3 linked regions of the Callithrix jacchus genome follow. The protein of the gene in region 2 purifies or fractionates together with the protein of the main gene of each other region. This does not show direct contact. Links are inferred from orthologs where the notes say so. Each region holds a gene or a part of one and is shown on either strand. Other genes may lie near its edges.

What was found. The genes of interacting proteins can lie anywhere in the genome.
Region 1: the proteins of SMAD2 (region 2) and SMARCA4 purify together in Homo sapiens (affinity purification with mass spectrometry; 3 studies listed by BioGRID, with this or other methods). This does not show direct contact. The link is inferred for Callithrix jacchus from reciprocal best matches to the Homo sapiens genes SMAD2 and SMARCA4.
Region 3: the proteins of SMAD2 (region 2) and CTNNB1 purify together in Homo sapiens (affinity purification with western blotting; 5 studies listed by BioGRID, with this or other methods). This does not show direct contact. The link is inferred for Callithrix jacchus from reciprocal best matches to the Homo sapiens genes SMAD2 and CTNNB1.

The regions. Positions count from the first base shown.
Region 1 is NC_133523.1:10,116,034-10,120,146, reverse strand, and holds the start of SMARCA4 (SWI/SNF-related matrix-associated actin-dependent regulator of chromatin subfamily A member 4), read right to left. Parts: upstream 2,801-4,113; 5' UTR 2,523-2,800; intron 1-2,522. UniProt on the Homo sapiens protein: ATPase involved in transcriptional activation and repression of select genes by chromatin remodeling (alteration of DNA-nucleosome topology).
Region 2 is NC_133514.1:90,930,367-90,933,613, forward strand, and holds the end of SMAD2 (mothers against decapentaplegic homolog 2), read right to left. Parts: intron 2,198-3,247; coding exon 2,074-2,197; 3' UTR 501-2,073; downstream 1-500. UniProt on the Homo sapiens protein: Receptor-regulated SMAD (R-SMAD) that is an intracellular signal transducer and transcriptional modulator activated by TGF-beta (transforming growth factor) and activin type 1 receptor kinases.
Region 3 is NC_133518.1:78,994,184-78,998,468, forward strand, and holds the start of CTNNB1 (catenin beta-1), read left to right. Parts: upstream 1-1,485; 5' UTR 1,486-1,516; coding exon of another isoform or gene 1,517-2,153; exon of another isoform or gene 2,154-2,373; intron 2,374-4,285. Other genes in the region: uncharacterized protein LOC144579968, read right to left, coding at 583-1,454, 1,517-2,153. UniProt on the Homo sapiens protein: Key downstream component of the canonical Wnt signaling pathway.

The DNA.
Region 1 (4,113 bases), on a different chromosome or scaffold from region 2:
CTCATTCAACCCTCAGAAGAAGCCTGTGAAGTTTCAGGCATCCTCGTCCTACCTGTTTCACAAGTGGGGGGCCCTAGTACTAAGCACCTCGCTTGAGGTTAAGCTAGGATTTAGAGAACCGGGTGTGAATTCAGGAGGTCAGATTACAGAATAAGCACTCCTTATCGCTATCATAGGGGAGAGGAGGACAACTGAGGTTTGGGAAAACAATGACTTGGAAAATTCAAAAACAAACAACTAACGTGAACCCCTTATAATCCATCCCCAGTCCTGTACCAGGCTTTTTCTTTTCTTTTCTTTTTAAGACAGTCTTACTCTGGCGCCCAGGCTGGAATGCAGGAACCCAAGAATGGCTCACTGCAGCCTCTGGCTCACTACCTCTCTGGCTCAAGCAATCCTCCCACCCCTGCCTCCTAAGTAGCTGGAACCACCAGTGCCTGTCACCACACTCAGCTAATTTCTGTATTTTTTGGAGAGATGAGGTCTCTCTATGTTGCCCAGGTTAGTCTCAAACTCCTGGTCTCAAGCAATTCTCCCACGTCAGCCTCCCAAAGTGCTGGGACTGCCCAAAGCCACTGCACCCGATCCTGTACCAGGCCTTGAACAAAAATGCTCACACGATCTTCCACAGGACCCTCTCCTTCAATCCACAGATATTCACTAAAGACCTGCTATGCATCAGGCCCAGGGTACTCTGGGGCTAGCAAGGTAGACACAGTCCCAGCTCTCACCGTGCTGGTGGTGACAGCTACAGGAGAAAGGACCAAGGTGATGTGTGAGCGTAACTGAGGGGAACAATGGCTAGCCCAAGGTGGCCAGGGAAAGTCAAAACACAGTCCTGGTCGGGTGAGGTGGCTCACATATTAATCCCAGCACTTTGGGAGGCAGAGATGGGTGGATCACCTGAGGTCAGGGGTGTGAGATCAGCCTGGCCAAAACGGGGGAACCCCATCTCTACTAAAAATACAAAATTTAAAAAATTAGCCAGTCATGGTGATGGGCGCCTGTAGTCCCAGCTACTTGGGAGGCTGAGGCAGGAGAATCACTTGAACGCGGAAGGCAGAGGCTGCAGTAAGCCAAGATTGGGACAGTGCACTCCAGCCTGGGGAACAGGCGAGATTCCATCTCAAAAAAAAAATCCTATTATCCTCCCTGATTTTGAGGCCCCCTCTTCCAGGCAGCCCCCATGATCTCCAGCTACCACTCATTCCCTGCATGTCTGCTGCATCCCTCTCACAGTGCAAGTTATAAGCATTAAATGACAGGCCAGGAGGGTTTCTTCCCGCATTTACCACCTGCTACCCTCCAAGACTGCAGAGACTCCAGGAGCCAACCCCCGACCATCCAACACTCGGTAGGGCCTCAACAAGTATTTGCTGAACAATAAGGGACACTGGACCAAACAGTAACAATATCGCTTCCCACTTGCCAGGAACCATTTCACAGGCGTTCACCAATTCCATTTGTGAGGTTACCCCCTTTCACAAAGGAGGAAAACTAAGAGGTTCAGCGAGGTTAAGCCACTTCCCTAAAGTGACAGTGTGCTAAGTGACTGACAGCACCAGGAATCAAACTTGAATGCACCCTATCAATCCAAACTGAAAACTTGTTTCAAATTCTTGCGAAGTGTCTTTTCCACTTACTCACTTTGCACTTTCCCCAAGGAGTCACTGACCAAAAGAAAAAAAATCAAGACTGGTGTCTTCAAGACAGGGACAAAACACTCGCCTAAAAAGTCCACGTTGGAAGGAAAAAAAAAAAAAAGAAAAAGAAAAAAGCCTTCACCTTAAAAACCAATTGGGAAGCAGTAAAAAGGATGCAAAACCTAAGCACTGCTTTTATACAGCAAACGATTTCCTCCGCGGTCCCCTACTTGCAGCCGACCCCATCCCCAAACTTCCCCAACCCCAATTCGGGCAAACATTCTGAAGTCACTAATTCCAAGGGATTGGAGGAGTCCTTTACCTTTCCTTGAAAATCTGGAATGACGCGTTTTTAAGACAATTTGAGGTCGGCTAGCCCAAGGGGGTCGCCAATGCCCGTGTCCGGTCGACGCCGGACGTTATCTGGAGGTTTGGCTACTGAGCCCCAATCGCAGCTTCGCCAAAAAGGCAACATTAGGGTCTGACCCGTTACCACGCAGCCAGAAAAGCCCCAACGCCTGCCTATTGTTGCAAGCGCTGAAATTGGGAGGGCGACTGTGGGGGTGCCGGACGAGAAGGGCGAGCTTTGTCCCGCGACCCCGGCGAGAGCGCGCGCGGAGGGGATCGCGCGGCCTCCACGCGGCCCGGGTCCCCCACCCGCCCGCCGCTCCGCGGGGACCGTCCCTGCCGCGGCCTCGCGATGCTGTGGCCTTCCCCACGCGCGCGGCTGCCGGCCGGGCTTCTTGATCCTCGGGCGCCGCCGTACCCTGGCCCCGCACCGGGCGCGCCGGTCGCCCCCTCCCCCCTCAGCGCCCGGCTCCATTCAAACCGCCCTCCCCAGCCCCGCGCCGCGCTGCCCCCGCGGCCCGCGTTCCTTACCGGGAGCGGCAGGCGCCGTCGCCTTCCCGGCGCCGCCCCCGCCCCTCCGCGCGGGGCCGGGGGCAGAGTGAGCGTCTCGCGTCCCCTCACGAAACAAAGAAGCCGCCGCCACCGCCGCCAAGCGAGGGGAAGCCTCACGCGCGCACCCGCCTCGGCCACCGCCCCCCCTTCAGACACACGCGCGCGCCGCCCGCGCCCCCGCTGCGCGCGCTCTCGCTGGCTCCCCTTCCCCCAGCTCCGCGGACGGCCTCTCCAGCTTCCGCCGCCCGCCCGGCCTCGTGCGCGCGCCAGTCCGCCCTTCCGCTCCCTGCGCGCGTGCGCTCCCGCCCCTAGGCTGACAGAGGTGGGCGCGTCCAGGAGGAAGCACGAGCGCCCGACGCACCGCCCCACTGGGGCCGCTATAGCCCCGCGCCTGCGCACGGGTAGCTTTGCCCTCTGCACGCCGCGCGTCCTATCGCCCCAGAGCATGCGCACAGCGGGCGTCACTGCGGTGGCGGCGAGGGCTCTGGCGGGCTAATTGGGGGAAGGGAGTCCGGTGGCAGTGGGGTCCGTGGGGAAGGGAGGTCCCTGAGACTCGAAAATAGGAACTTGAACCGTAGGATGGGCGAGCTGGGCCTAGACCGGGCAGTGGTTTCCCGCGGGCCAAGGGGGAACCGCTTTGATCCCTGGCCGGGGCGGCGGGGCCTGTTTGGCGAGGCCGGGTGGGGCCCGACCGTGGTCGCCTTCTCTGCAAAACCTCCCTAGTGCCATTAATTAGCTTAGCAAATGTTGATTGATCTGCTGCTGTGTCCAAGCCGTCGTGGAGCCCACGGTCTAGTTGGGGAGGAGGACAAGAAGCAAGATTAATGAGCGAAATAGGGCAGTGTGAGAGGTCAAACTTGGTGGCTCATGCCTGTAATCCCAGCACTTTAGGAGGCTGTCGGGGGCAGATCACCTGAGGTCAGGAGTTCGAGACCACCCTGGCCAATATAACAAAACACTGTCTCTACTAAAAATACAAAAATTAGCGGGGCGTGGTGGCACACGACTGAAATTCCAGCTACTCAGGAGGCTGAGGCAGGAGAATCGCTTGAACCCGGGACGTAGAGGTGGTAGTGAGCCGAGATCGCGCCATTGCACTCCAGCCTTGGCAATAAGAATGAAACTCCGTCTCAAAAAAAAAAAAAAAATAGTGTAAGGTGGAGACTGGGAGGATCGTGGACATTTTAAATAGGGCAGCCAGAGAAGCAGTCATTGCAGAGAACACGTTTGAGTGCAGACATGCCGGCAGTGAGGAAAAGAAACCCTGTGAGACTGAAGGCCCTGAGCCTCTTGGTCTCCGCTCTGTGTTTTTATTTTGTTTTGTTTGTTTTTGAGACGAAGTCTTGCTCTGTCAGGCAGGCTGCAGTGCAGTGGTGATCTCGGCTCACTGCAACCTACACTTCACAGATTCAAGCAATTCTCCTGCCTCAGCCTCCCAAGTAGCTGGGATTACAGGCGCCTGCCACAACACCCGACTAATTTTTTGCATTTTTTAGTAGAAATGGGGTTTCACCATGTTGGACAGGCTGGACTTGAACACCTGACCTCAGGTGATCCGCCCCTTGGTTTC
Region 2 (3,247 bases):
CATGAGTTTCCTTTAGTGTGAGCCTTTTTGCATTTGATGCTATTCTCTTTGCCAGGAATGCTTATCTTCCCTGGCTCATCACTTGGCTTGCTTCTTCAATGTCAGGTATTAGCTCATGCATCATTTCCTGAGAGGCTTTCCTTGATGTCCTACCTGAAGCATCCATCTGTTATTCTCCAGTACAGTACCCTGTTTATCTCCTTCAAAGACAAGATGATTAAGGATTAGTGTAATTGCTGTCTCAGCAAAGGCAGGAACTGTAGCTGTCTTGTTCACCTTTACCCAAAGACTAAGAAAGTTCCTGGTACAAACATGCGAACAATAAATATCTGTTGAACGAATAAAAAATTACTATACCAAATTTACATGAACACATACATATACACACAAATACAGGAAAATGGCGAGTATCCAATAGAAAACCACCAAATGTTGAAAGTATCGAAAATGATACCTGTAGAGACAGGTTGAGTATGATTTCAAAGAACAAGTACCAAAGATAGCTTCAAAAATATGAAAATTTATGAAAAGATGACCAGGAGTGGTTATTTTCCATTTCTACTAAGATGCAAACAAGAAGAAATGTTTAAACTGCAATGAGTCAACATTAGACATAATAATTATTTGCTGCAGAATGAACTACCAACAGAGTTTCGGAAATCTCCTCTCACTACAGAGTATGAAATATGGTCAACCACAAACTGAGGATCAGTTAAGAACAGCTCAGACTGCAGGTAACTTAAAAGCTAAAAAACTTGCTAAAGAAATGGCTTTTCCCCCCAGTTTTTAAAATTCTGAATTCATAATTACATGTAGAGTAACAATCAATTTACAAATTGAATACAACATACTTTAAAAACAGATGGCCCATATCTGCTGATCGTACCTCAGCATCACTTTTCTAGGTATTTTGCAGAAACAATTACATCTACAAAAGGTTCATTTCATAATACAATCTGGTAACTAAATCAAATGAAACTACTAGAAGACCAGAAGGTCTGCGGTTGAAATATTTTAAAATACCTTTTGAAAAAAGGGTATTTATAGATTAGCTTTTTAAAAAGGGAAAAATACGTGGAAGTAATTCTAGCATATCCCTGAAAATAATTATACTGCCACCTATGTATTTTTTTGTAGGTGGAAAGTTAAATCAACAGACTGCCAGGTTATACAAGCCAATTATTCCTGTCGAAAATTGGGTGTCAAAGGAACTTTCTCCATATGAATTCTTACTGTACCCCAGAATTAACTGGTGCCAGCAGTATCAGTGCAACTATTACTGGTGAAGATGTCATGCTATGCTATTTTGATTATCAGGACAAAAATGGGAATGGAGAAAAGAGGCTTGGAAAGATTTTCAGTATGGTTTCCTTATAATAAGATTTAGCAGTTAAAAAAAAACACACAAACACACACACAAAAAAAGAATGACTGTTTAAGCCCCACTGAACACATTAAGGATAAGGATTTCAAAAGTTAATCCACTTTTCTTCCCCCAAGAGTTTATTTTTGGTAAAAGGCAGAAAAATTAGTTTTTCTACAAGGAAAATCTGCATCTAAATAATTTGAAAATCTTGATATATATTATATATTAAAAAAGACACACAAAAATAACAGAGAAGTGGGAATAACAGATTAGGTACTGTAACTTTATAAAGGTTTGCCTAGATCAAGAAGCAGCGCACACACACACCTCATCTATGCAAACTAAAAATGTATATAAACAGCACAATACTGTGATACTGGATCATGATACATTACCTGTACACATAACTACTACTGTTATTAATAAACCTTTGGGACACTCAGTTTTATGCCCAATAAGACATCATTAAGTCTTTAAAATCTTCTCTTCCTCTTTTATGGGAGAGTATTTCTAGACACTAATTTTCCCATCTAATATTCAAATATAGGAAACAGATTCCACAAGGTGCTTTAATTGATGAGACCTCAAGTGCTGTTTTCTCTCTTGAACTTTTGGACAGTAAACAGTCCATGGAGACCACACACAATACTATGACAGAAGAGTTGTTACATTAAGTCTTTTGATGGAAATTGATTGGTGATGAAGCTTTATGACATGCTTGAGCAACGCACTGAAGGGGATCCCATCTGAGTTAATACTTTGTCCAACCACTGCAGAGGTCCATTCAGATGAAGTTCAATCCAGCAAGGAGTACTTGTTACCGTCTGCCTTCTGTTTAAAAGAATATAGGAAAATAATTATGAAATAAAGTCCACAAGCAGGAAAAATGGCTGTTTATGTACACTGCATTAAAAATTTACAGAAATTAAAAGGTTGAGTATATAATTTTGGACACGATTATTTTGAAAAATGGTTGATCCTCAGAGTCAAACAAAGTACTTCTGATGACCTTGTTTTAAAAGAGAAAAAGATGTTCTTGTAAATCACATCAAACTAAAATTAATAAGGTGATCTTACTATTCACCATCGTCCAAAACTGAACACCTGAGAGAAACTGTGGGTATTATTATTAATCAGGCCAGGGCTGAGTGCAGTGGCTCACACCTGTCATCTCAGCACTTTGGGAGGCTGAGGCAGGTAGATTATGAGGTCAAGAGATCAAGACCATCCTGGCTCACGTGGTGAAACCCAATCTCTGCCAAAAATATAAAAATTAGTTGGGGTGGTAGCGGGTGCCTGTAGTCCTAGCTACTCGGCAGGCTGAGGCAGGAGAATTGCTTGAACCCAGGAGGCAGATGTTGTAGTGGGCCAAGATCACACCACTGCAATCTAGCTTGGCGAGAGAGTGAGACTCTGTCCCAACACACAAATAAATAAAGCCAGAAGAAGAGACATGAATCAGGATTCTCCCAAGCAAACCAAGACATATATACGGTCACTGTACTCAACAAATCAACTACAGCATAGTAGATACTCAAATAATCAAATGGAGTCTAAATACAAGTATATCAAAACAAAAACAAAATCTTGGCCCAAGGTAAACCCTTACCACAGAGAGTGTTAAATGCTGGAGTTCAACTTTCCCTGACAAAGCCAATGAACATCCCTCTTAGCAACACCATTCGGGCTTTTAATAGTGCTTCAACAAAAGGGACAACTCTATGGGAATTACAAATTATTCAATGATATCCTGTCACTTCCATGCACTGATTTTAGTTCCACCTTATCTGCTACACAGAATAAGTCAATAAACCTACTTGCTTCTATAGACTAACAGCCCTTCAATTATAAGAAAAGCCCATTATCAACTGTTCATCTCCA
Region 3 (4,285 bases), on a different chromosome or scaffold from region 2:
GTGCTATGGTGACAGACGGCAGTTGGCATTACCATTTATATAGTAAAATATCTTTAAGACAAAAATAAAAGTTATTTCAAGAATATGCTGTCCCTGAAACATGAGCTATGCCTTAAACTACATATCCTACCTCCATGAGTGAATACGTAAGTGGGTTTCCTGCCAGCATGTATGTGTAAAGACCTATTGTTTGCATGTATTAATTGCGGTCCTGGGATAAAAGCACAGACGTAACTTTCACTGCTGCTTTTTGTACTCTCTCCAATGTTTTGGAGGAAAAATAAGCACAAACAATAGAATAGAGAAAGTGAAGCGATCGTAATTGTTGCAGCTTTGACAAACGCCAATTTTGCTGCATTACAATGGGAAACATTTTTCAGCCTATCAAAATTAATTAAAAAACGTTTTTAAAGTCAGTTAAAAATATTAGAGGCTGTCTAATCGATCGCTTTTTCTATAAACATACTTTGGTTTCTCAAGTAATACCGTAAAAACCTTCTTCTCCAAAGAAAAAATCCCCACAAATAAATCTATTGATACCTAGTGACAAGTGGAACCAGATAAAAATGGAATCTATAATAATTAAGCTAATGGACAGTGCTCCGGAGCGAATCCATTTCCACTAGTTACTTGCTCACAGTAGGTACTCAGAAGGACTTGTTGAACTGCGGGCTTGGCGCCCATTCTCCGGGAGTTCACAGCCCTCGCGAGCGGGATCGAGGGCGGCTTGGCCCGGTGATTCAGGTCGAAACTCAAGCTGAGCCGCCCGCTGCGGGGGGGGACCCACCATCCGGACAGTGGGGGGCCTCTGGGTGCCGCGAGACTGGGCTGCCAGCCAGGTCCAGCAGGGAGTGCGCGGCACAGACCGCAAGGTCGTAAGGCCCCGACACCCGCGCCGGGCCGGGAGTCCGCAGACTGGCGACGGGGCAGCGGCGGCGGCGGCGGCGCCCAGGAGCGCCCCGAACTTCCGCCCTCCGAGGACCCGTCCCGCCCGCCCCGCGCGGCCCCCGAGGGCCGGGGCCGAGGAGCCACCTTCCGCAGGCCGCGGGAAAGGCGCGCCGAGTCCTGCAGCTGCTCTCCCGGCTCGGGAAACGCGCGGGGCGGGGGCGTCGGGCTTGGGACGGGGGAGGAGACGGGGCCACCTTCCCTCACCCAGGCCTGCAGGGGCCCGGCCTCCCCGACGCAGACCACGGCGCCCTCCGGGGCCGCCCTCCGGTCCCGCGCAGCAGGCAGCCGCCAGCCTGCGCCCGGGGAGCGTCCGTGGGGAGCGTCCGCGGCGAGCGCGGCCCCCGCCCCGACCCGGAGCGCTCTCACGGCGGCGCACTGCCGGGCCGCGCACGGCTGGCGGCGCGGGACTACTTTCCCCCGCCCTCTCGCGCCCCGCCCCGTGTCCTCGCGCGGCGGAACGCTCCGCGCGGTGCCGGCGGCGGCAGGATACAGCGGCTTCCGCGCGACTTATAAGAGCTCCTTGTGCGGCGCCATTTTAAGTCTCTCGGTCTGTGGCAGCCGCGGTAGCCCGGCCCCGGGAGCGGAGAGCGAGGGGAGGCGGAGACGGAGGAAGGTCCGACGAGCAGCCTCAGTGCCCGCCGAGCCGCCACCGCAGGTCGAGGACGGTTGGACTCCCGCGGCGGGAGGAGCCTGTTCCCCTGAGGTGCTTGGGCGCTCCTTTCCTTATCCTTCCGGGGCTGCTCCCGCTTCCTCTCGGAGCCAAACTTCGTCGCAGGCGCGCGGTCCGGGCGGCGGGCTGGGAGCCGGGCCGGGCACAGCCCGGAGGCCTGGGGTGGGGAGCGGGGGTTCGGGTGGGGGACGGCGGGGGCGGGACGCGCCCGGGGCGCGGAGGGCGGTGGCCGGGCCCGGGTTCCGGTCGCGCTGCCCCTCAGGGGCCCCGGGGGCATCGCTTGCAGGGAGGGGGTGCCGCGGGGTCGCGTCCAGGAGCCCGGATGGCCGGCGGGTGGGAGTGGGGGTGGGGGTCTGTGGTTTCTGTGCGGGGCTCCGGCCTTGGCCGAGTTTGGGGGAGGGACCCTGTGCCTCGGGATGCGCTGGGGCCCGGGGTGGGGTGGGGGGCGGGGTGGGGACCGGGGGCTCCGCCTTTTCAGCTCCTGCGGCGAGTTGGGGTTCGGGGGCTCAGGCCGGAGCGCCACCCTAAGTCCCATCTGTCCTGGGGATCCGCCGAGTGGACTTTCTCTTAAGATTTCGGAAGAATAGAAGTGTTAATTTTATTATTATTAATTTTTGGTAATGCCCTGCCTGTGTGAGTTTGAATCGAAGCAACTTTAAACCTTAGAGTAAACTCTGAGTGCGGTCGGTGCGATGCGTCAGTAGGGTGTGCACGTAGAAAATCCGTGTCTTGCACTATTTTAGCGTACCGTGCAGGTGAGTGAAAGCGGTGGATAAAGTAGGGGAGTCTTCTGGGTTTATGGTAGTGGGCATGAGACCCTAGTGAAACAAGGGGGTGGAGGAAGGGCGAAGGTGATGGCTCACTGTTTGTTACCACGTAAACTGCAGGATTCGGCCTCTGACTCGGACCGCTTCGAGGATTTTGTTCGTTTGAAATAATTTAAATTTATTCAAATAGTTTGATGGCAGCTAAACTTGATTTTTAGAGCACGTTTTCTTTTCAGCGGAGTGAATGAAATTTTCCTTCTTTGCAAAACGGCCAAATGCAATTCAAGCAGTTGAAACTTCTCTGTTTTGTCTGGAGAGAGGACTTTGAACCGAGACTTTTCGAAGTTGAGTTCCTATAGCCCGCTTCTGAATCTGCCAAGCTGGAAAGCTTTGGCACTGGGTGTAGTTGTTCCCTTCGTTCTGTTCCCTTGTGGAGGGACATTGTCTCATACTTTGTATCTTGCAGACATCTGTGGTCTCCCCCGTCCCCGGCCCCCCACCCCTCGAGTTTGTGAGTGGTGAATGAAGAAAGACCAGGCTGCTGGTATGCAGAGGTCGGCAAAAGGAAATCGAGGAGTGGTTTTAGTGCAATGAGAGCTTTGTATCGTGAATAATGGTGGCTTAGGCTTGAAGGGACGGCAGCATTTCCTTTGGTAATGTCTACGCTAATGTTTTTCAGATCGCTAAGTTGTAAAGTAGTTTGTCTGGAATTTAGGAAGCCATTTCAGTGTTTGTCACTTGGTGAACGAACATTCAGTACCTTCAGATGTCTTCGTGTCGATCGATTTGTATTCATCCTGAGAAATAGTAAATATAGCCTGAAGTGTTATTTATATTACTATCCGCTTAAATTGTTGACATAAATTTCTACTTTGGAGTCGTTTCGTTTGAACTAAGGCTGCTGCGACATTTATTTTACTTTTATATTTAAATCTTTGAAAAATCTCTGATTAAAAAAAAGTACCTTTAAGGGTTTGAGGATGTCCTTTCACACCAGACAAAATTTAGTTAATTTGCGCCCAATATTCATTAATTTGACCTAACCTTTGTTCTGAAGGCCATGTACAAGGACAAGGCCCTGAGATTATTGCAACAATAACTTGAAAAACTTTCAGAAGTCTTTTCTGTAGGATTAAAGGAATGCTGAAACTATTCAAGTCTGAAGTCCTGGGGGTGGGGAGAAGTAAAAACCTGTGCTAGAGAGCTTAGTATAGCATGTAACTTTAGAGTCCTCAGGAGTCGTGAGTCTCCCACAGACCAGAGCAACCATTTAAAAGTTTTCAGGAGAAAACAACTTAAAAAAAAAATAAGGCGGCTAATAAAAAATGAAGCATTTAACAGTGTTCAGGTTTCAGAGTATCGAGGGGTTTTTAAAACTGTTACTGGATTATTTCCTTTACCAAGATGATGATATAGAAAAGTGTATTGCCAATATTAAAATTATCAGATTGAGCTTCTTACTGTTCCTGATGACTGGATAAAAATTGGCATAAATGAGGGTCTCTGTGCTTGTTTTCATAACATCGCCACCAAGATAGAAAATGAGGAGGCAAGTTTCTTTAAGAGTATTTTGAAATGTGTTACCAAAAACTGTCATAGATACCCTTTTTTGTTATAGGGCGTGGTGGGGAGAGGTGCATGCTAAATATTGTTGAAACTAGGGATGTGGAGAATTCACAGTTTCAATATCATTATTTTGTTACTATAAGTAGCAGTGAAATTACAACTCCTGCAACAGACTACATATTCAGTTAAATGAAACTTCAGTGTTATTGAAATGAAATAACACGTCTGTCCTGTTACAAGATTATTTTATTTCTCTTTGGTGGTTTCCTAGCTGCTGATAACCAATAATGGTAGATGAGTAGGTGGTAAATTTTAAGTTTGTACTTTGAGCCTA